Linked DNA regions of Caenorhabditis elegans. The protein of the gene in region 1 interacts with the protein of each later gene in a pairwise test. Each region holds a gene or a part of one and is shown on either strand. Other genes may lie near its edges. The genes, in order: F47G4.4, apc-1 and F07F6.8.

The links.
Region 2: the proteins of F47G4.4 (region 1) and apc-1 interact in a two-hybrid assay, tested with the Caenorhabditis elegans proteins (one large-scale study listed by BioGRID).
Region 3: the proteins of F47G4.4 (region 1) and F07F6.8 interact in a two-hybrid assay, tested with the Caenorhabditis elegans proteins (one large-scale study listed by BioGRID).

What each region holds. Positions count from the first base shown.
Region 1 is NC_003279.8:14,062,208-14,071,779, forward strand, and holds F47G4.4 (WD_REPEATS_REGION domain-containing protein), read right to left. Parts: upstream 6,597-9,572; 5' UTR 6,559-6,596; coding exon 6,546-6,558; intron 5,469-6,545; coding exon 5,353-5,468; intron 4,340-5,352; coding exon 4,082-4,339; intron 3,548-4,081; coding exon 3,407-3,547; intron 3,353-3,406; coding exon 3,205-3,352; intron 3,153-3,204; coding exon 3,052-3,152; intron 2,639-3,051; coding exon 2,459-2,638; intron 2,412-2,458; coding exon 2,274-2,411; intron 1,959-2,273; coding exon 1,660-1,958; intron 1,603-1,659; coding exon 1,271-1,602; intron 1,224-1,270; coding exon 1,059-1,223; intron 1,011-1,058; coding exon 838-1,010; intron 787-837; coding exon 682-786; 3' UTR 542-681; downstream 1-541.
Region 2 is NC_003280.10:11,105,373-11,111,782, reverse strand, and holds the start of apc-1 (Anaphase-promoting complex subunit 1), read right to left. Parts: upstream 3,623-6,410; 5' UTR 3,560-3,622; coding exon 3,506-3,559; intron 3,453-3,505; coding exon 3,123-3,452; intron 3,079-3,122; coding exon 2,649-3,078; intron 2,364-2,648; coding exon 2,217-2,363; intron 2,213-2,216; exon of another isoform or gene 2,171-2,212; coding exon of another isoform or gene 1,966-2,170; intron 1,912-1,965; coding exon of another isoform or gene 1,761-1,911; intron 1,481-1,760; coding exon of another isoform or gene 1,395-1,480; intron 1,349-1,394; coding exon of another isoform or gene 1,184-1,348; intron 1,134-1,183; coding exon of another isoform or gene 1,026-1,133; intron 979-1,025; coding exon of another isoform or gene 766-978; intron 721-765; coding exon of another isoform or gene 614-720; exon of another isoform or gene 576-613; intron 553-575; exon of another isoform or gene 430-552; intron 1-429. Other genes in the region: glb-4 (GLOBIN domain-containing protein), read left to right, coding at 614-720, 766-978, 1,026-1,133, 1,184-1,348, 1,395-1,480, 1,761-1,911, 1,966-2,170; nasp-1 (Protein NASP homolog 1), read right to left, coding at 3,841-3,933, 3,992-4,567, 4,617-4,983, 5,035-5,147; C09H10.9 (YqaJ domain-containing protein), read right to left, coding at 5,821-5,853, 5,898-6,025, 6,074-6,212, 6,257-6,366. UniProt on the Caenorhabditis elegans protein: Probable component of the anaphase promoting complex/cyclosome (APC/C), a cell cycle-regulated E3 ubiquitin ligase that controls progression through mitosis and the G1 phase of the cell cycle.
Region 3 is NC_003280.10:5,423,085-5,428,779, forward strand, and holds F07F6.8 (Apolipoprotein L3-like), read right to left. Parts: upstream 2,650-5,695; 5' UTR 2,635-2,649; coding exon 2,545-2,634; intron 2,172-2,544; coding exon 2,052-2,171; intron 1,995-2,051; coding exon 1,575-1,994; intron 1,528-1,574; coding exon 1,432-1,527; intron 1,384-1,431; coding exon 1,153-1,383; 3' UTR 1,057-1,152; downstream 1-1,056. Other genes in the region: F07F6.7 (Apolipoprotein L, 1), read right to left, coding at 1-27, 76-495, 542-661, 712-747; rfgp-2 (ARF GTPase activating Protein), read right to left, coding at 4,365-4,397, 4,490-4,591, 4,643-4,741, 4,798-4,963, 5,019-5,329, 5,379-5,695.

The DNA.
Region 1 (9,572 bases):
TAAACCCGACAGACTTGAACTTTAAACCAAAAAAAAACCGCAAAAGTTGTACATATAGAGAGGACTAAAGACAAACTTTTATAGGTTCTTTGCAAACTTGAAGACAAGCGCGGAGAGACACATAAGCGGAAGACGTCAATTTTCTCCACTGGGTCACCGACACGAGGGGACACGGAGCAGGGGGCTTGTAGGGGAGAGCGGCTAGAGGGAGTCATAGCAACGCAAGTTCGCTATATCTTTTAATGGAGATATGGAGGGGGGTATAGATTAGTAGGATTTCAAAACATAGATAGTGATTAAATTTTAAATATTGAGGGTCTAGAGAAGGCCTAAAAGCCTAGGGACTTTGCGGGGGCACTTGAAAAGTTCTGCGGACTCAGGACTCGGATGTGTACAAGTGGGCTTGCTGGCTTAAAACCTTTTAATTTATCAATAACTTTAGGATTTCTGAAATCCCCCTCTTATGAATTATAAATCCCTTTTCACACCTCACAACTCACGACTTTGCAATAAGAAGCCCTCAAAGTAAAATTTATGATTTATGATTCAATGATTTATTAAAAAGAGGGAATTCGTAGAGAAACCTGAAAATCTCTGACCCAAATGACTGAAAGACAAGACAAAAGAACAAAAATGCGAGTGGTGGTGGGAATGCTTAACAATATATCACAGATGAGGTAGCTAGATCTTCTTTAAAAGCTCTAGAATCGGGTCGAGTTTGAGAATGGATGGCTCGTCGAGTTGTTTGTAGTACCAGTCGCGTTTTTTGACCAGGGAGCGGAGGTGCTGGAATTATTTGTAGGGTTAATAAGGGCAAAACCCCTACAAGATGCCTACCTGAACACATGCCTTCGCCTTCTCGGCCCTCTCCTCCGCCGCCACATCTACTCCTATCCTATGGGAGTTCATGGACGCAAACTTCACGAGCCTCTCCCCCAGGGTGTCAGCGATCGCTGCGAGACCCTCCAGGGCTATAGCTCGATTTGTAACGTCTACACTGGCTATGTTGTCTGAAAGTTCAAAACATCATTACGACCTTCACTACCAAGCAAGATTACCTATTATGACTGGAAGGTAGGCATGACAGCTGTTCAATGACCAATCGTTCCTCCTGCTCAGTATCCTCGTGGCGGTTAACACTAGTTGCTCATCGGAGCACACTTCTGGAGGGATATCCACGTTGCTCGTTCGACGGGAGGTAAGCATCTTGAGCCGTCGGATGTCTGAATTCCAGTAGTTAACGCTTCAAGCTAGATCCTAAATAACTCACTTCTATTCTCCTTCTTCGCAACTATCCCGATGTCATGTACAGTTTCTATACAAGCTCCCCAGACCCCTACAGGCGTCTTGGCCGACGTGGTAGAGGTCACCGATGACGTGGAATTCTGGCGTCTGGCAGTAGGCCCTGAAGCGGTGGAGGAGGCACGCTTGGCCGGGGAAGAGGTGATCGCGTAGATTGACGGAGGGGAGGTCTTCTTCGCCACGGAAGGCGATGGGCGACGGTTGCGGGATGTGGAGGAGGATACTGTAGATGCGACGTCTCCTTCGCTAGGGGTACGTGGGCGGCCAATGTAGGTGATGGTGATGGGCTCTTGGTTACGGCTGGAAAATTGGAAAGTTTTAGAGTTTTGAAACTTTACTTCCTCTAGTCCTGCTTACCGGCTCGACGTTGACCGCTTCTTCGGAGCCCTCTCACTCAACAAAGACGTCGTAGACCCTGCCATCGACTTTGTCGTCCTCAAATCCGACATAGAAGGCGACGGATTCGCGCGGTTATTGTACCCGCTTAGTGATGGCTTCGACGAGACAATCACACTCTTTGCGGTGCCAAATGTTCGAGGTGGCTTTGTGGAGACTGGGGTCACAGAGCGTGTGGACCCCGCTGGTTTTGGGTTCAGGGTCTTGGTCGATTTTCCAGGAAGCTTCTGAGATGCCGATCGGTGTTTGACGGGAGCTGGCTGTAAGATTTAAGAGGTTGGATGTCAAGCTGCGGCTGTTGGAGCAGGGGAGAGGGAACTCCCTAGAGGGTTTGAAAATATATGGAGAGCTCTTTTAGGTTTTACAAAGCTCAAAGACTGTCTTGTGAGGAAGATTGAGGGGATTGAACTTAGATACAGACTTTGGTCTAAAACTGGAAAATTGCAATTGAGACTAACGACTTGAGACAGCTTACGAGTTTTTAGGCCAATAAAATGAGACTCGGAAGCCTTTTAAACTGGCCCAGAAGCAGTCCGTACTTAAGATATGGGCCTCTGACAAAAATTTATTCTTACCTTAACGGGACTAGTCGGGCTAGAATGGCTGCTGCTACTATTCACAGGTGACGCTGACGTCTCCGTCTCTTCACATGACAAGCCAGGCGACCTCGGCGGCAAATTCGATAACTCTGTGAGCTCCGGTAGCGCTTTTACCTGGAAAATTCCTACATTAACCCCAAGTACAAACCCAAAGCTAATACCTCATCAATCGGCGAGTTATCCACATCCTCATCCTCCTCGTAAATGCTCCCGCAGAGCTCGTGGCTCGGCGAATAGGAGAGCAGCTCTTCTATAGCGTAGGTGCGCATTTCGAGACGTTCAGTGTTGTCTCCAATGCAAATAAAGTCTAAATCCAGACCGTTTGCATTCACGTTGACGACCTGAAATGGCATGGAATTCATAACAAAGGGAAGAAGATTGGAATCTCCGCCAAAAAATAATCAATCATAACTGGCGTTGAAATGTTGGGTTAATGCCTTAAAATGAACATTTTTAGAAATTTGGATTCATGAAAATAAGATAGGAATTTGCTTTCCGATGTGACTTTTTGACTAAGTTTCAAGTCTATAGGACTACTAGTTGGCTAAGTTACAGAGCTAAGAAATTTGATGGCCAAGCCGCGACGCAACCGCAACGCGTGGGTGAAAGCTTACAAGTGTCGTCTAAAAATTTGAAGACTCTACGTCAACTGGTACGCAAGTTACAGGATCTTTAATACTAGAGCACACACTGACAACACTTTTTGCTCACATTTTTCAGTGAGCCAAAAGTGTTGTCAAGTTACTATCCCTACCTTCTCCACATTTTTCAGAGGTACTGTCGTTAGAATATCACAGCAGGGCTCCCAAGTGAGCAGGTTGATAGAATCATTGGTAGCAGCTATCATGACGTGGGCTGAAATTCAATTTTTTGATGTTTTTGGCCCAAAATTAAATATAATTCTTACTATCAAAAGCGCTGGCTTGAATATCATCCAGAAACGGATCGGATTGAGATATCATTTCAAAAGTCTCTAGGCAGAAAAACCGAACTATCCTATCATGACCAACGGAGGAGAGGAGCACATCGCTGGGGTGAAGCTCTAGTGCGTGACCCTGCAAAATTTGATTTTTTAAAAATGGTCAGAAATTCCAGTGAAAAGCACCTACCGAACAGTTAAAAGTTTTGATAAATTCCCGCTGCCTGGCGTCGAAAATCTGTATAGTTTCGTCGGTGCCAACTGCTACATAGCGATCACCAGGTGATAATGCGATACTTCGAACAACGCCAGGGGTTTTGGACCCGAAAATCTGAAAATCATTATATTTTGAAAAGTTTCAGAAAATTTGGGAACGCTTTAAAAAACTGCTTTATTTCAGATATGGTGATTACAAAAAGTTTCAGAAAATTTGGACCACTATGGGCTAAGTTATGTGGTATTGAAGTTTTGGGCGTGCGTCGCGTGTCGCGTCGCGGTCGATCTTCAAAATTAGAAAGTTTCTTTTACAACGCGCGTTGAAAGTCTATAAAAAAGTCTGTTTCTAGAGAATGCTTTCACAAAAAGTTTCAAAATCCTACGACGACTGGGAGCAAAGTTACGGTGCCATAAAATTTCGGCAGTGCGTCGCGTGTCGCGTCGCGGTCTACCTCAATTTTTAAAATGTCAAAGCTTTGCTCACAATTGAGTCGGAGGTGTGAAATTTGGCCAATAGTGTTATCTAGTATTTATCTGCCATTTTTGATAAAAATTTGGGCACGCGTCGCGGTTGCGTCGCGGCTCGGTATCACAGAGGATTTGAAGCTTGGACACTTTTTGGATAGTATTTTTGCACTTTTCAACTCACTTTAGACGGATTCATCCTAGTATCCCACTGCGTCCAATCACAATCCGATGACCCGGTGTACCAGCAGTAAGGGTTGAACTTGCTAGCGGCTAGGGAGGTTATTGGCAAGGTGTGTCCCGTTAGATTCCGCACCTCGTGACCTGTTATAATATCCGCAACTTTGAGAATCGCATTTGTCGCCGCACCGATCGTCCGTTCATCTGTGGAGAGTCGGAGGCACTCGATGGGTAGCTCACTGAGAGTTGAGGTGCTTGGGAGCTGAAAAATTTGTTTTTGTATAAATAGGTACATTTCAAGCTTTTATAGAAAATTAGAATGTGGTAAACTTAACAGAGTCACTCAAAAAATTTCAGAGCTCTAGGACCATTTTGAGCCAAGTTAGATAACCGCGACGCGACCGCGCCGCATGCGCCAATTTTCGATGCACCATAACTATGCTCCAAAGCGTGCCAGAGCTCTGAAATTTTTTCTGAAGTTTTAGATCGGCTAGAGCTATTCTTTTCAACATTTCCTGTCAAGTTATGAACCTATTGAAAATTTTCCAGCTCCCCCTTCCCAAAGACTTTTCAAATTCCCTGCCCAGCAGATCAATCATCTAGATATGGAACCCTTTCACACCCTTTTTCAATGTTCGCATCCCCATGAGAATTCCGGATCAAAACTTATCGCTGGGCAGAATCTTGTTATTAGAGAGGCGAGACGCAGAGACAGTAACACTTCTCAAATTGACAACTACGGTTCGATAAGCAGCGAAAGTGCCGAGGGGATTATTGACGGCTCGTTAGGTACAAAGAGGATTATACGGGGTGGGGGAAGATCGGAAGAGGAGGAAATTAAATGGGTGGCCGAAAATTTTTTTTGTTGCTTAAAAAGTTTAAAGCTAGATATTTGAATAGTACATGTAATTTTGAGGCTTCTGCAAAAATGTCAGAGCTTTAGGACCTTGGTGAGCAAATTTATCAAGCTTTAAAGTTTAGGAGGTGGCCGCGACGCGACCGCAACGCCTGGTCAAAATTCTAAAGCTTCATATCTTAGCTCTCAAAAGACCGAGAGCTCTGAAATTTTTTGACACTGTAATTTAGGTTTTTTCCAAAGTTTGACTGCAAACTGTGAACAATGTAAGATTTTTTAAAAATCTGGATAATCCTTTTATATCCGTCTGACCCCAAAAACGCCCCAAAACAATGAATAATTGCTCTGGAAAGAGACTCGCAACATGTGGTCCCACTCATTATAAGCAGATGGCCCTGGACTACAAAAAGAACACTTACCGGCTCAGAACACCCCTCCAGTGGAAGCACTTCGTATGGTCCCGCGCAGATGACGGAGCGGTGTCGACGCGAAAGGACTGCCGAATGGACCGTCGAGTGCGGTAGTGCCGATACCACTGAAAAATGGGAAAGGTTGCTATATGTTAAGGAGTTTCAAAATTTGGTTGAAGCGACGCGGTTGCGTCGCGGCCCAATGAATTGGTTGCTAACGATAATGAAAGCTTAATTTAAAATCAGCTCTGAGAAAAAATTTCAAAGCTGTAGGTCAATTTTGAGCTGAGTTACAGGGCTTTGAAGTTAAGTAGGTGCGGCGCGGTTGCGTCGCGGTTGAACTAGATACTTTGAAGCCTTATAACTCAGTGCAAAGTTAAGCTACGGCTCTGAAATTTTCAATATATACTAATCCAAAAGTGCAAATTTTTAATTTATAATTGGAAATTTTATATTTTGAGATTCGAACAAATTTTTTTTTTCTCCTCCAAATTTAGACAAACCCTTTGGGAATACATTTGTACTTTTATTTTTACGGCCCTCTTTTCTCTTAGAGGAGCATGGAACACATCCAATTTCCAATTTCCAGGCGGGTGCACCACAATACTAAAATTTAATTACTTTTCCACCCCAGAAGCTTGGGTTAGAGTTTACGTCATCAATTGGCATAGTTAGAGAGTTTGGAATAGATTTGGATGAAATTTAAAGTCTGATTGTGAGCAAAATTTTAGAAATTTTGGAGAAATATGTTTTTTGAGAAAAAAAAACATTTTTGGTCAAAAACTTTCAAATGTTCAAAATTGTGGTTTTTTTCTAAATTTTACTTATGACATTGTAAAGAGCAATATTTTATTAATTTTTACTGTAAAAGTACCTTAAAACCTATAGTTGTTACCCTATAAGATTCCAGTCAGCCTGAACGCAGTACCAACAAACTTCAGGCTCCTCTAACTCTGCGGAGAGCAAGGCTATCAAAATTTTGTCAACGATGAAAATGTTTATCACACAATTTTCTATGTTTTGATAGTTGGCAACATTTTAATAGCTCTCGTAGTTTTGGAGATATGAAAGTTTGAAAAAATCTCGAAAAAATTTTTTTTTTGAAAATTGGAAAATTTTTTTGAAATTTTTTTAGTAACCAGCATACATATGTATTTTTAATTAAAATTAGCATTTTCTAAATTAAAAAAATCAAAACCAACCTTCAATTTTCATGTTTTGTACAATTTGCTCCGCATGGGAAGAATATGACACTGAAAAAAAATCTTGAAATTAGCTGAAATTTCCAAAAATAACCGCAGTTTAAAGAGCTGTACAGTAGTGAAAAAAAAATAGAAAAAGTGAGAAAAAAAGAGGGAAATTGAATTTATAGAGCGTCGAGACAGAAAGAAGGGGGAAAATTTTATTTTCGGATTTTTTTTTCGGGAAAATAGACAAAATAGACACCAGGGTGTGTGTTTTCAATTAAAATCCTAAAACCGAACACCATGAAAAAAACATTGAAAAACATTGGAAAGAATCAATCCAATGAATTTTGGAAAAAGGGCCGAAAATAGATGAAAACAAGGAAGAACTCGAGGAGGGGGGGGGGGAGAGAAAAAGTGGCATAACTTCTGGGAAACTGAAGATTTTTAAAAATTGTCAACTATCAAAATGTTAAGCATAACATTTGCACCATTTTTTTAGTTGCCAACTTTTTGATAGCTGCCACCAATAAAAAGTTATAAAAGAAAAAACTACCATACCTCAAATTTGTGAAAAGTTATCAAAAAGTTGTCAATTTACAAAATGTTAAGCAAAAAATTTCCTTTATTTTGTTAGTTGACAACTTTTTAATTAATTCAGTAGTTTTTGAAATATGGAAGTTCAAACTAAAAATAAAAAAAACCACAACAATTTTTAATTTTTTTTGAAGTTGGAGTGATTTAAAACTTTTTTAAATTTGCTTAGTTTAAACAATTTTCAAAAATAAATTTTGAAATAAATTTTGTAGTTTTTAAAGATGTAACAGTAAAACAAATTTAAGATTTTTTTTTAATTTTCATTTTTAACCACATTTTTGAAACGTTGAAATCTTTTCCTATTATCATATTTTAAATTTTATTTTTACAATTTAACAAAATATGAAAAATTTGTTGAAAATATGATAATAGTTAAAGATATCAATGTTTCGAAAAGGTGGTTAAAAATTAAATAATTTTATATTTATAAAATTTAAAAATGATTTTTAAAAAAACTTAAAGTTTTAATAGATTTTAAAAGCTTTTCTTGTTTTAAGAAACTTCATATTTTTCAGCAAAAAATTCCCTCACAAAATGTTTTTTTCTAGTTTAGCAAAATTTTGCAAAGTAATTTTTTATCACCGAAAATGCTCTTTTTCGGTAGTCGAAAAGGAAAACTAGCGGAAAACGGAGCAAAATTCACAAAAAAAAAACACAAGAAAAAGCAAAGACAGAGAGCAAATAAAGTGAGAGCAAAAACGGAACGTGAGTGAGGAGGAGGAGTACATGTTTGCCATAGGGTACCCCCTTATCACTTTTTCGTAATAAATGTCACTTTTAAGGTATGAATAATGCGTAAAATACTTGAAAAGTTGGAGAAAATTGATTCAAAAAAATAAAATTCTATATAGTTGTGGCTCTCTAGCTTCAAAATAAATGAACATAGAAAAAATTGTCAACTAAAAAATTAATTGACAAGAAATTTGCTAAATTTTGTTAGTTGGCAACTTTTTGACAAGTCTCATAGTTTCAGAATTACAGGGGTTTGAAAATTTTGAAAAATGTTTTTCAAATTTTTTAAATCTACAATTTTAAAACTCATGTATCTCCAAAACTAAAACAGCTGTCAGAAACTTTTTAACTAATAAAATGTAGTAAAATTTTAGTTCTATAATTTACTAGTGAACTACTTTTTGATAGCTTGCAAATTGGCAAAGTTAAAATGGCTTCAAAATTTGCTCAAAAAAAATTTCAATTTTTTTTAATCTACAATTTTAAAACTCGTATATCTCCAAAACTAAAATATCTATCAAAAATTTTTCAACTGATGAAATGTAGCAAAATTTTAGTACTATAAATCACTAGTTAATAATTTTTTGATATCTTGCAAATTGGCACATTTATAGGCGCTTCAAACTATGCTCAAAAAAATTTTTTTCGGAAAATCTCGAATGTATACAAAATTAGGAACAATCAAATAATAATATAACTATGATATTATTAGGGTTGGTTGTTGTTGTACTGTTCTTCACCCCCCCCCCCCCCCCCCGCAAAAGATGACACTGTCGTGCTGTACTTGTAGAGAGTATTGCGGGAAAAGAGACGGCAGATACAGAGACACATTATGCTAATGTTCCGACCCCGCGCGGCAACCGGAGGCACGAGAAACGGACGGACGAATAGAGAAAGAAAAGGCGCATTTCGAATTCTTGTCTTTAAATGTCTGCGTCTCACTATCCCTCTCACCCCCCATCGCCTCCTTTTGTTGTATGTTTGCGCAGCTGAAGAGGGGGAGAGAGAAGAACCCCCAGGAATAATTGAGCTGGTTGGCTACTACTAGATTTGGTACTTATTTCTATAGAGTGAATGCAACAATTGAAACATGCCAAAGAAACAGGAACCAAGTTTTTTTCTTGATTTTAAGAAAAAAAAATTTACAAAAAAACAATTTCATATAAATTCTAGAAAAACAAGTAGATCGTAAAATTTTAAGATTTTTGCAAAAAAGTTCAAGTTTCTAGCTTCAAAATAAACAAAGTTACGGCGTTTTGAAGTTTGGTGGCCATGCGGCGCGGCTGCGTCGGCGTGTGCGTCGGCGTGCGCGTCGCGGCGCCCCCGCAACTTAAAACCTTCATAACTTTGCTACCAGTAGAGCTAGAGTGCTGACATTTTTGGAGAATAATCAATATCTAGTTACTCGGCATTTACCTGCAGCTTCTTGCCCAACTTTAGCTCTCAGCAGCTTTTTACCCAAGTTTAGCCAACTTTTCATCCAAGTTTAGCCCAAGTCTGACCGAAGTTTAAGTTTTCTAATGCAATCTATCCCACTAAACTTTGGCCAAACTTTTCGGTGGGCGTGCGGCGCGTGTGCGTCGCGGCAGCCTCACCAACTTGAATCCGTCGTAACTTTTCGCTGAGGCAAGCTAGAAAGCTGAAATTTTTGTAGATAACTCAGAATATATTGTATTTTGAAATTTGATAATTTTTCCAACATTTTTCCAAAAAAAA
Region 2 (6,410 bases), on another chromosome or scaffold:
GACGTCGTTGTCAATCATTTTTCTTATTTAGTCGAGGACGTATTTTGTTTTTACATCTGCTGCTGGTCTCATCTTGCAATGCTGAAGCACCAAGACGCCGCCCCATTTATCATATTCCGGACGCTATTAGTTAAGTCGGGCGGCCGCTCCAAGTTTTACTCGATTTTAAAAAGAAATCGGCTCTGCATTTTCATTGTTTTGAACCTCCTATCACATGAGTGACCTTCTTCTCTTTATATAATCATCTTTGAGAAGATCGACGCACTTCCTTTCTCAATTTTTTTCTGTGAAAATTGCATCTTCGACGAGAATGTCTGAAAAACAACTTCTTCAGCTATTTCTTTGAATAATGTTACGTCCTCGTGAGCTCATCATAACATATTCGAATACCCATAATTATTCATTATTCACCTTCGCGAAAAGAGCATGCTAAACAACTGTGTGCTCTTTCTACTCTCTTTGAAGCTTCCGTTGCTATAAACAGATAGAAAAGAGAAAATCCATTCTTTGATTCATTCTGTTCTTTTACGATTGGCTCAGTTAGGATAGATGAGATACTTAATGATGAAGCTCATTTTCAGTGTATCAGAGATCTTCCGGACTATGCAACAAAATGGGCAATCAGTCTGCTCGTCAACTATCTACACATCGAAAACATGTAGTACATACGTGGAATACAATAAACTCGCACGATCCACAGCTTCTGAGTGATGCCATTAGGTGAGCTCTTTTTTCAGACTGTTCCTGAAAAGCAATTGTTTTCAGTGAGGCTTGGCTCAAATCCGCCGAGTTAACACCCACATGGGTATGGGCTCTTGTTGATCTACCAGAGACTATGCACGCTACCTATAAGGAAAATGCTCAATTTCTCAACATCATCAATCAAGTTCGTGACTTTCTCAACATACTCATCAAAGTTCACAAATGTGATCCAGAAATGATCAAGACGCTTTCCTTCCGTCTCGGAGCACGCCATCGGTTAGTCATATGCGTGGGTGGGACAACACTCACAAAAATGTTTATAGACATTATATGAATGAGGGAAATGACAACTGCTTTTGGGCTCCGTTTGCCCAACAACTTCCGATCGCCATGAGCAAAATGTACATGCGGGTTGTCACAGAGGATAGCAAGTAACTTTTTGACAATTTACATCACGGGTGGGAAATCAACTGGTTTTCAGAATTCGGCGAATATTGAGAATAAGGTCTAGGGCAGCGGAGAAAAGTGAAGAAGAAGAAGTTTGTGAGTCTTGGAGACAGTTTTCCTGCATGTTAATCGAATCAATGAAACGAGGATATGAGGGATGTGCAAGTGAAAAGACACCTCTTCGGTTAAGCATTACAAAGTAAGTGCTCTTCCATATCTTCCACAAAAAAATCTAAACATTCCAGCTCGATAATCTCAATGGCATCGATGCGTTCATCACGTTCCCGATCCGCCTCCCATTTTCTCGAACCGAACATGTCGCCGGCAATCGGTGCGTCTCAAGTTCATCATTCACATTCGTGTCGTAGCTCACCATCATCTAAACACCGCCCACCACCACCTCGTAGATCACTTAGATAGTTTTCTCGATATTCTTCAGTTGATTTTGTTCGCTTCTACACTTTCCTTCTCACCACGTATATATATATATATATATAACAATAAATACACTAACTTCTAGGTTTGCTGTGTGCCGTGTGCTTTTCGTTTTATAGTTTTTTTGTTGTTGGTTTCTGTTGGCTAAATTCATATTCTAATTTACTCAAATCTAGCTCCAATGTGTGCTCTTCTTGGCTCAACAGAGAGCAACTCGACGACTACAACAACTCAGCCATCATCTCCAATTACTCCATATCGACGAAGAAGTATGTTCCGCGCGGGTGGAGCTCTTCAAAGGAATAGCCAAGACTTCACAGCACTACGGTATGTAACAATTTGACGGACATCAGCTATAATTCTCACTTCACGTATTTTCAGAAACCGCCGTATGTCTTCTCCCAACAACCCGTCAATTCTTCTAAATAATTGCGACATTCAACTGCTCAAGTTGACGTCTCAATTGAGCCCCCTCGAAGATCAAGTCAAACAGAATCGAGTGCCAGGACGAGCGCATCAGCAACGGCGAAGCATAACACTTTTAAATTTTGATCATCATCATCGTGCACGATCGCCCACGACTTGAGGTTAATGGTGCTAATAAATTTTTATGAATTAAAAAAAAAAATTACCTTCAAAATTCGGTGTTGGAAGTGTTGCAGGGTAGCCTGGAGCGTTCGGGTTGTTTGGAGTAGAATGTCCAAAACCGGATCGCAGATGAGGAGTGAACGGTGAGCGGCTATCAATTTCCGAGCTGATCACTTCGGAGAGCACATTTTCTGGAAAATAATTATGATTTTTTGTTGAATATAAATTAACTCGGACTTCCACACTATATCATAATTGAAAATATTTATTTTTTAGTTTTTAATCACAACTCTTTCTAATTTAACATTTGATTTTTTTAGTAGTTTTTGGGGAAAATCGAATTATTTCCTGTTCGAAACGAGGTTTTTTTGGTTTTTAACTTAAATCACTGTAAATTAACTAAATATTGACGATTTGAATGTCTGATACAATACGAATAATATATTTATCCAAAAGCTCAAGTTTTCAAAAATTACCGGCGGGAGAGTTGAGTGTCGGATCAAAATGCGTAGTTCTGCCGGCAGAATTCGGCGCCAAACTCGACGCGAACATTGTTGAATCAGACGGTCTTCTGAGTGCTTCAACGTATCGAATCGCTGCGTGAACTTCCTGTTCTTGTGTCTCTCGTGCCATATAAATCCGATGCGTCTTCTCCTTCTGATCATAGACAACAACGTAATTTTGCTGAGCGTCAACGAGTCCAGCCTCGTCTCGATGCGATTGCCAACAGAATTTCCATTGTGGATGGTAGCCGCTTGTCTTGTAGATAACCGGGAGAAGCTCGCCGAATGGACCGGATAGCGAGTAGAGGTGAAATGTGTCGTGATGGTGGAAGGTTTGTTCGCTGGATGAATCGTAGAACCGTTCGACCAGAAGACTTGTCGAGCAGGAGAACACGTTGCGAAGCTGGAAATATTTGAAATTATCAGAATTTCAAACTAAATTCTCACCTTAAAAGGAATTTCATAGTGATAGAAATGATAGTCGGGAAGCGATATGAACTGGAGCTTATGCTCACCGCACACAACCAAATAATCCCGATGCTTCGTATCAGGTCCACCACAATTCTCAGTTGCCAACTTTTCAGCGTTTCGAGTCACAATGAACGAGTGGAAGAACACTTTTTTGATATCAAACTCCATTTTGAACCGTCGTTTAATCATCTTCCGTCGCGTCGTTCCATCACAAATGAGAATAATTGGACCCGATGTGAAGACAAAATCCGTGGTCTTCTCCTTGTTTCGAAACGCGCAGACCACTGTATCCTGGGTGAAGAAATCCTGAAAATTTAAGTTTACTTTTTTTAAATTGTTAATTATCTAAAAAAAATTACCTTTCCAATTTCATCTCCCAGCTGAATATCAAACTGTTTATTAGCAGAGATCATATTTTTCCAATGGCAATCATCAAATTCTTCACTCATACAAGTATAATTCGAATTTGAATGAAGCTGAAAATCCTGTTTTAAATAGTAAAATTATTTTGGAAGTATGAAAAAGATTTGAAACAAATTATAAAAACGAATATATGGCGAATATATATATACAGAACAAGTTTTACTTTAGAATCCTTAAATTCGGATAACAGATAAAATGTTAATTGATACATTATCAGTAGTTCAGTAGGTCAGATCATGATGAAATATTTAGAATTACAGGTTATCAATATTCAGATCGAAGTTGTTCCTTCCTCCTCCTTTTCTTTCTTCACTGCTTGATTGTCAGTTGGAGCATCCACTGCTCGTTTTGCTGGACGACGAACCTGGAAATTTGTTAATTGAATATTTAAAAAGTCTACGGGAAGTTAATTCAAACCGTACCAAGCTAGAAATATCATTTGCTTCCTTCTGATCACCGGCTTCTTGTGGAAGTTTTGCCAATACTTGTGTGAATCCTTCGAATTGCGCTTTAATGGCCTTCTTAGTTTCCTCAACTTGTGCTGCAGAGTGCACAGCATCAGCAATCATTTCTTCAACGCCTGGCATCATCTCTTCAAGCTCCTTCAGCTCATTCTCAAATTCAGACTTCTTTTCCTTATCATCAACACCTCTTTCCAGCTCATGCTTCAACTCAGTCTGCCTGGCGATGAGTACGTCCTTGGTTTTGCCGAAGTACTGAACGGTTTCATCGTAATTCGCATCGCTAGCACACGCGTTTCCGATGAGAATGTAGGTTTGGGCGATTTTTCTCGACGACGGTGGAAGAACATTGCGCTGAATGTTGAGGGCACGATCCAAGTCCTCAAAAGCCTGAGTATACTTTCCATCTGATATTCCGTGCTCGCCGAGGAGAACCAGTACATCAGCGAGTTTCAGGTTCCATTCCTCAATGGCACTGATTCCACTCTGCTCAGCTTCTAGAGCTTCGATTTTGGCAGCGGCAATACAACGAGCTGTCTGAAAATAATCACAATTAAGCATAAAATCATTGAATAAAATAAGAAACCTCAAGAATTTCCCATGATAATTTCATGGTATCATCATCATCGTCCTCTTCTTCACCGGATTCCTCTCCGTCCTCCTTCTCCGTTTCTCCATTCTCTTCGTCAGTCTTGTCATCAGAATTTCCAGCTTGCTCCTCATCTCCGCTTTCCTTCTCACCTGGACCTTTCAGAAGTTGGCTCTCCTCCTTCGCCAATTCCAGTGTGGCCATGCCATAATAGTAAAGAGAATCGAACGTGTTTTCATGGTTTTCTCCATAAATTTCGGAGCTCAGTTCAGTAGCCTCACTCAACGAATCCGATGCTTTGTCGATATCGTTAACTTTCAACGCACGGCGTCCAGCTGCAAGCAACTCGGCGAGACGCTTCTCTCTGGAATACGAAAAGTGATTTTATTGATGATATTCTGCAGCAAAAGTTTACTTCTGCTCGACAGTCTCTTCTTCTGTAGTAGTCCCGTTTCCTTTTTCATCTGAATCTCCTGAAGCATCCTTCACACGAATATCAGAGGCGTCGGCGATGTTTTCAGTGTCCATTTTCTGATTTGTTAATATCTGAAAATAAATACTATTCGATATATATTCAAAATTCAATAAAAAGCGGATAAATTCAAATGAGTATAATAGCGCGGGAGAGCCTAGAAACCGAGCGTTGCCTAGTCCACTAAAAACCGGCCATACGGCGGGAATTAGTACGTTTCGAAAAGGTTTATCAATAAATGTTTTTAAACAAACATATAAACTGTATTCATGATGTTTTTAGAATTCTACCGCTAGAACAGACCGACAGGCCGATTTTTTGGTTGATTTCAGTTGATAATTCCAGCTTGAATCACTTATTAACACTGCCGCCGCTTAAAAACTTTTAATTAAACAAAAATAAACACAATACTTCAGCAAAACTTTCATTTGAAAAGAGAAAAAACAATTTTTTGGGAGTATAAACTTAAATTGTCAACAACAAATTTTCCCGCGCTGTGCAATGTTGCGTCTGCGTGCCGCACAGATATTACTGTAACGCATCACATATGACGAGCAATTGGAGTTTTCTTTATTTTTTCTTTTTTGTTTTTGCATTTTCTTTTGCCTATTTTCCTTCTAGTTCTTTAACAAAATGAATTTATTAAAAACTTTTATTCTAAATACTAGAGAAAAACTGTATATCACATAAAACTCGATGGCACATTGTTGAGAATCTTCCAAGTTGTAATTAAGTCCGCTCAGAAGTCGTTTTAGGCGATTTCTGAAAAGAAATTAAAATTATGTTTAACTGCTGTGTTTCAATACCTTCTTTAATTTTATTGTAAATTCGTTTTCCCCATTTTCTGAGTCGTGTCGTCGTTTTACTCCACATTTTACGATTGGGGGTTTGGAGAGAATGCCGAGGAGAACTGGATGGTCCGACAATTTCAGATCTGCAATCTAGTTTTTGTTGAATTTCGTTTAATCACTATCAAACTTACTTTCTTTGTCCTCCTGCAAATTCATAGCCTGGAAAACTGGCGTTCGGATCGTTGTGAATTTATTATCCGGATATTTACATACACCTTGAGCTTTGTTAGTGCCGGCTTCCGTAATTCTTATCAGCGAAATTTCAAATGCCTGAAATTTTGTAATGACAGGTGAAAAAAAATGTAGATCCTCACATTAACATGGTCGGCGACATCCGGATACACAAAATTTTCTATCCATTTTGCAAATGAGTGCAAGTTACTGTAGCTACAAGTACCAATGAGAGCGCCGTGCTTATAAGTTTCTGAAAATTATATTTAATTGGTCTATTAAGCTTAACTATAAAAT
Region 3 (5,695 bases), on another chromosome or scaffold:
TTTCATAAGTGCATTCGTGAGATGGCCCTAAAAACGAAGGTAAAAATTTAAATTTCAAAAAAACAACTATTCTACCATGGAAGATGCGGCCATTTTAATTCCGAATCCTGTGATTCCGGCGAGAGAAACACCAAAAAGTGTTTTCAAATGAGACTGGACATCGTCGAAGTTTTTGAAAATCTTTGACGATTGCTTGTCCTCCACAAATCTCCTCACTTCGTTCAACAAATCATTTCTCGAATGAAGAAGTTCCTCAAAAAACTTCGCATCCTCCGCGAGCATTCGATTGATTTCTCTGATTTTATGATCGGTAGCAAGCTTCTTGTTCACTCCAGTTGCGACATTTGAGACGCCGGAAGCTGCTCCAACGATGAGACCAGCAATTGCAACTGGTGGCATGAAGAATAGTCCTCCGAAAACTGCAAGTCCAGATGCAATATCAACGGAACTTCCGACAGTTGTTGCGATGGCTGAAGCCTTCTCCAATCCGTCAAGCTGAAATTTAGAAAATAAATAGAAAAACTATGTTTTATCGACCTACATCTTTAGCAATCTCCTCCATTCGGTTCATGATCTCTTGTCGGTTTGAGCTCCAACGATCGAGGTGCCATTGAGCTCCCCAGGCTTTAACCTGGAGTTCCTTTGGCATTTCTTCGCCATTCTGAACAAGAAATATAAATTATAAAAAATGAATTTGAATAAAAATCTTACCATCAACGTGCTTTTCAAAGATTCATAGATTGACATATCGCTTTGCAGTTTGTAGATAAGTCTCTGAATCAGTTAATTTAGAATTTGAAATAGTGAATAATTTAATAAGAAAACAAGAATTTAAATGAAGACAAGTTACAGTACAATAAAAAATAATTCCTTAAAAACACGGATTCGTTTTTGATTTTTATTCTGAGCAATGAGGTGTCTTTTCAAGACCACCTGGAATATTGAACATCTGAGCCTTTAAATTAGTACTGTAGAGTATACTGTAGCTCGCATTCTTTCTGGATTTTAATCGATATTTACCATTTTCGGGTTTCCGTTATTTTCACAATGCCCACACTTGAAGTGCCGAATTTATTTTATTTATTCGCATGAAACTTTCGCAAAATAACAACAAAACAGTAGTGAAACCCAGAAAAATTCAAAATCCCGATATTAATGTTGTACAGATGATTCTTGTTGATGTGGATCCATTATCAGTGACTGATTTGGAGATTCTGGCTGCACCATTTCAATAGAACCAACATCGGAGAGGACGTCATCATCGTCTTTCCAGACGTCTTCATTCAAAAAGTGTTTTACCACTTTTTGGCGCATCATTTCCATTTTGGAAGATGCTTCTAAAATAGAAGATCCAAGTTCCGACACGGATCCTTCTCCAAGAGTCTGAAATTTGTATATTTTATTTTGAAAATTTCAAATTAATTGTTGTACCTTGGCGCTCAACGCCAATGTGACACTGTCTAGAACGATTCCAATTACAGCTACACTGTGAAGAACTCCTTTGACAAGAGAAGAGGAGAGGCGACCCTGGAAAATAAATAATATTGATGAAAAAAATAATAAAAAGAGCTTACCATCGAAGTAATTGCAAATCTAGTTCCAATTCCAGTTATTCCAGTAACTGATCCACCGAACACAGTTTTCAGCTTATTTTCAATGTCCCCGTCGTTTTTGAAATGTTTAAAGAATTCCTCATCTTCAACAATTTTCCGAACAGCTTCCATAAGTTCTTCTCTTGATTTCAGAAGTTCTTCAAAAAGTACACCGTCTTCTGCAATCATTGCAGCTACTTCTTTGTGCTGCCCTTTTGTATGAAAAAATTTCGTGATGCCTGTCGCCAAATTGGAAACTCCTGAAGCTGTTCCAACGATGAGACCAGCAATTGCAACTGGTGGCATCAAGATAAGTCCTCCAATAACTGCAATTCCAGATGCAATACCAACGGTACTTCCGACAGCTGTTGAAATTGCACATCCTTTCTCCCAATTATCCAGCTGAAATTAAAAATTTTAAAATTCATTTTGATTAAAATCTCGCATTAAAGTACATACCTTCTCAGCAATTCCTTCCATTTGTCTGACAATTTTTCTTCGATTATTGCTCCATTTGTCCAATAAAAACTGTGTACGCAATGCTGTTTCACTCAATTCTTTTGACATTGACCTTGGAATCTAAATTCATTAATAATTATATTACGAAGACGGGAATTTTTTGTGGAAAGATGCGGTACCCGGTCTCGATACGACAATTTTTGTTAAATACAACCGGATGTGCGCCTTTAAAGAGTACAGTAGGTTCGAAGTATAGTGGCTTGGAATTTTCATCGACTTTTCATAGTTTTCTCGCAATTTTTTGAAAATGTTTGTGTTTTCATTGTTTTAGTTTATTGAAAACAATTTTTTTAGGGAAAAAAACAATGAAAAGTCGAGTAAAAATCCGCAGCAGCAAAAGTTTGAAATTACAGTACTCTTTAAAGGCGCACACCCGCTGGAATTTTACAAAATACCCAGTACCGTATTATTGAAACTTTAAAAAAAATCTTACAAATAGCAAGCTTTCCAATGAATCGTAAATTGGAACTCCGTTGTCTTCCGACTGAGAACCTGCGTCGTCGTGATCATCTTTGATCTGCATCTTGTCTGATTTTATCTGAATTTTGACAAAAATGAAAACATGAGTTCATTACCAGAAAAATATTTAAAAATCGCGAAGTGTGGGAGGATTAGAAGTGAAACAGAAATCAATAAAAAATACCCTAAACTTCGAAAAATTCCAAGACGGGAAGAGCATTTTGATAGAAGGAAACAAAAGTTGGAAGACTGGGGCTAACATGTAAATTCGGAAAAATATGGATCGCGACATAAATAATTTGACGCAAAAATCAAAACAGGAAAACAAGTGACTGATGAAAAACTCCTGATTTTCCCACACTGCCCAAAAAGTCACAAGGACTGGTTTAGAAAATATGATCTAGAATTTAGTATGGTGCAATAAATAAAATAAATATCTAGAAGGGGGGAAAGCCAAAGACGGGTAAATGAAAACGACAAAAAATGTACGAAAAAAAGATAGAATCGATCGAAGAATCACATGTTTACAACCCAATGGCCTTCCCCCTCTTCTATGTCGTTCTCGGGTGCCTCCCATGACACGTTGACCCTCTCGATTAGAGAAAGAGACGACAGAGACTGTGGTGGGACAAGGCTCACTGAGTGAGAATCAAGTGATTCTAGAATGAAGAGAGAAAAAGGTGAAGACTACAGCAGCTAGTATTTTGTTCAATTTCAATGGAAGAAGTTGACTAAATTATGATGAGGAAGGCGAATAAAGGCAATATTATCACACATAGAATAAGACAGTTCCCAAGTATATTGATAAGAAAATTCAGTAGGTATGATACGAAGCGGAAATGGGAAGAATTGGGAAATAAGGCGAACGAGAGCAATTATCGATTGATGATTGGGATTTGAATCATGAAGTCGATGGAGAGCAGTAGGACGAAGTTAGCGGTCCTGAAATAAAAATGTTCAAGTTGGTTATTATAGTTATAAAAGAAGAGACCCAGACGAACACTAATACAGCTACGTATCACAATGTGACCAAACTATTACGAAATTTCGTTAATCTACTTCGGAAATTGAAAGTAAAAAAAAATGTCTCTCGAATTAATTTTGATACTTTTATTCAGTATTTATGGGTACATATTTACGTATTAAAAACCAATTTCGGACCAAAAAACAAAGCTTGCATGGTAAACAAACGTGTTTTTTGGTCAAGTTTATCCTTGTTTGCGTTCTCGCGACGAAAATAAGAAAATGAGCAGCTGAGAGGGTGACTTGTTTTGGTCAGGGCTCAATGCAAAGCGAATTTTCAAGTTATAGAAATTTTTTTAAATTTCCCTGAGTTAGATGCTAGTCATGACAATTTTCAACAAAAAAAAATTGAAACGCTCTTAAGGAATTTAGAAGAAAAATATAATTGTTAAAACAAAACGAAATTCGAAAAAATGAAAATAAACTACGACACTCCGTTATTCCGGATGTGTGTGTTGTTTACAGTAAATCTACACAGCTTGCAATTACGATTTTCTCAATTTGAAGGTTTTTTTTTGAATGGAAGTTAACTTAAGTTTGTGCCCAACAAAACTGATATATGAAACATTCACAACGACAAAAGAAATTGAAAAACCCAATGACACACAACATTCAATAAAATAAAGTAAAAAAGTTTTGAAAGACCCGAAATTCAGTGAGAATACAAAAACCCATAGGTTGAAAAATAAAAGATAAAGACAAAACTAAAAGAAAACAACATTAAAAACCAATTTTACGGATGGGATAAACTCGCCGTTAAAAGCCAGGAATTTATGTTTTTTCTCCAGTTGCTGGAGGAGCACGCTGAATTGTGGATTATAAACTTATTTTAATTTTTAAACTGTCTTATATTTTTTCAATACCTCCAGAAAACTTTGGAATAAAAATTTACTTACCGACATGTAAGTAGAGAATGAACTCGACAGCGTTGACCATTTCTCAGCGACCTTTGAAGCTCCGGCACGGAAAGAATCTTTCAAATCAGACATATCAGGAACCTGAAAATTAGATTTAGAATATTTTAATTTCGATGACAGCTTCGAGCTTACTTGACTAGATTGACGTTGCTGGCTTCCGTTACCCCACAAATCTTCGGATCCAAATGAAGTCTGTCCTTCACACTTGGTCAATGCACTTCTTGTTTCACACTGAAAATATATAAAATTGTAAATTTAAAAATATTACCAATAATATAAAAACATACATCCATTTCAGGCGTTCCAAAGTACATATCACTTGAGATAGCTTTAGCATTTCCGAATTTCTTCTGAAGATCAACATCCGAAATTGGAGATGCTCCAGCAGTCAGGCGAGTCGTTGGTGCACGGGATGTTGACGAAGAGGAAGAAGATGCGGTATAGCGGGATTTTCTGGAAAAAAGTCGTAAAGTCGTGTTTTAAATTAATTTTATATAATTTCACTTACTGCACAGGTTGCGTCTCAAATGAGTCAAAGAAATCATCTTCCTTTGTTGTTTTCTTGCTACTACTCGAAGTATAGTCTTTTGAGAAGAAATCATCCTCGTTGTTCGTACTTTTCTTTCCGTACTTATCATCAATAACCTCCCAATCGTCATCTTCTTTTGGCTGTGAAGGTTTCTTGAACGTAAGAACATCATCCTGTTTAATAGATCGAATACCACCAGCGACTGAATGAGCGGCACGGGATCTACCGACACCTCCCATTCCGAGACGATCGACTGAAGCGGCTTTTGTAGGATCTTTTGCAACCTTTGCCTGAAAAATATTAACTTTAAAAACCAATGTCATTTGTTTGAAATCCTACCTCCATTTGCTTTCTTTGAGCATCAATATCTTGCATGGCAAATTTGGCACTGAGCTTTTGCAATGCAGCGGCATCATCGGATTTTTTCTTACCATCAAGCTCTGTTTGATAAGCAAGCTTGTTCGCAGCAACTTCGGCGGCCGTCTGTCTCTCTTTTTCAGCAGCTCTTTGCTCAATTTCATCAAAATTAATCCGCACTTTTTGAGCTCCGAGAGCATTTTTCTTGGCGCCGAGAGTGGCTTTCTTGATTGGTTTTTTAAGAATCACGGAAACTGGAGCAGAGGTAGGAACAGCGACGGAAGAGTCGAGATGATCAA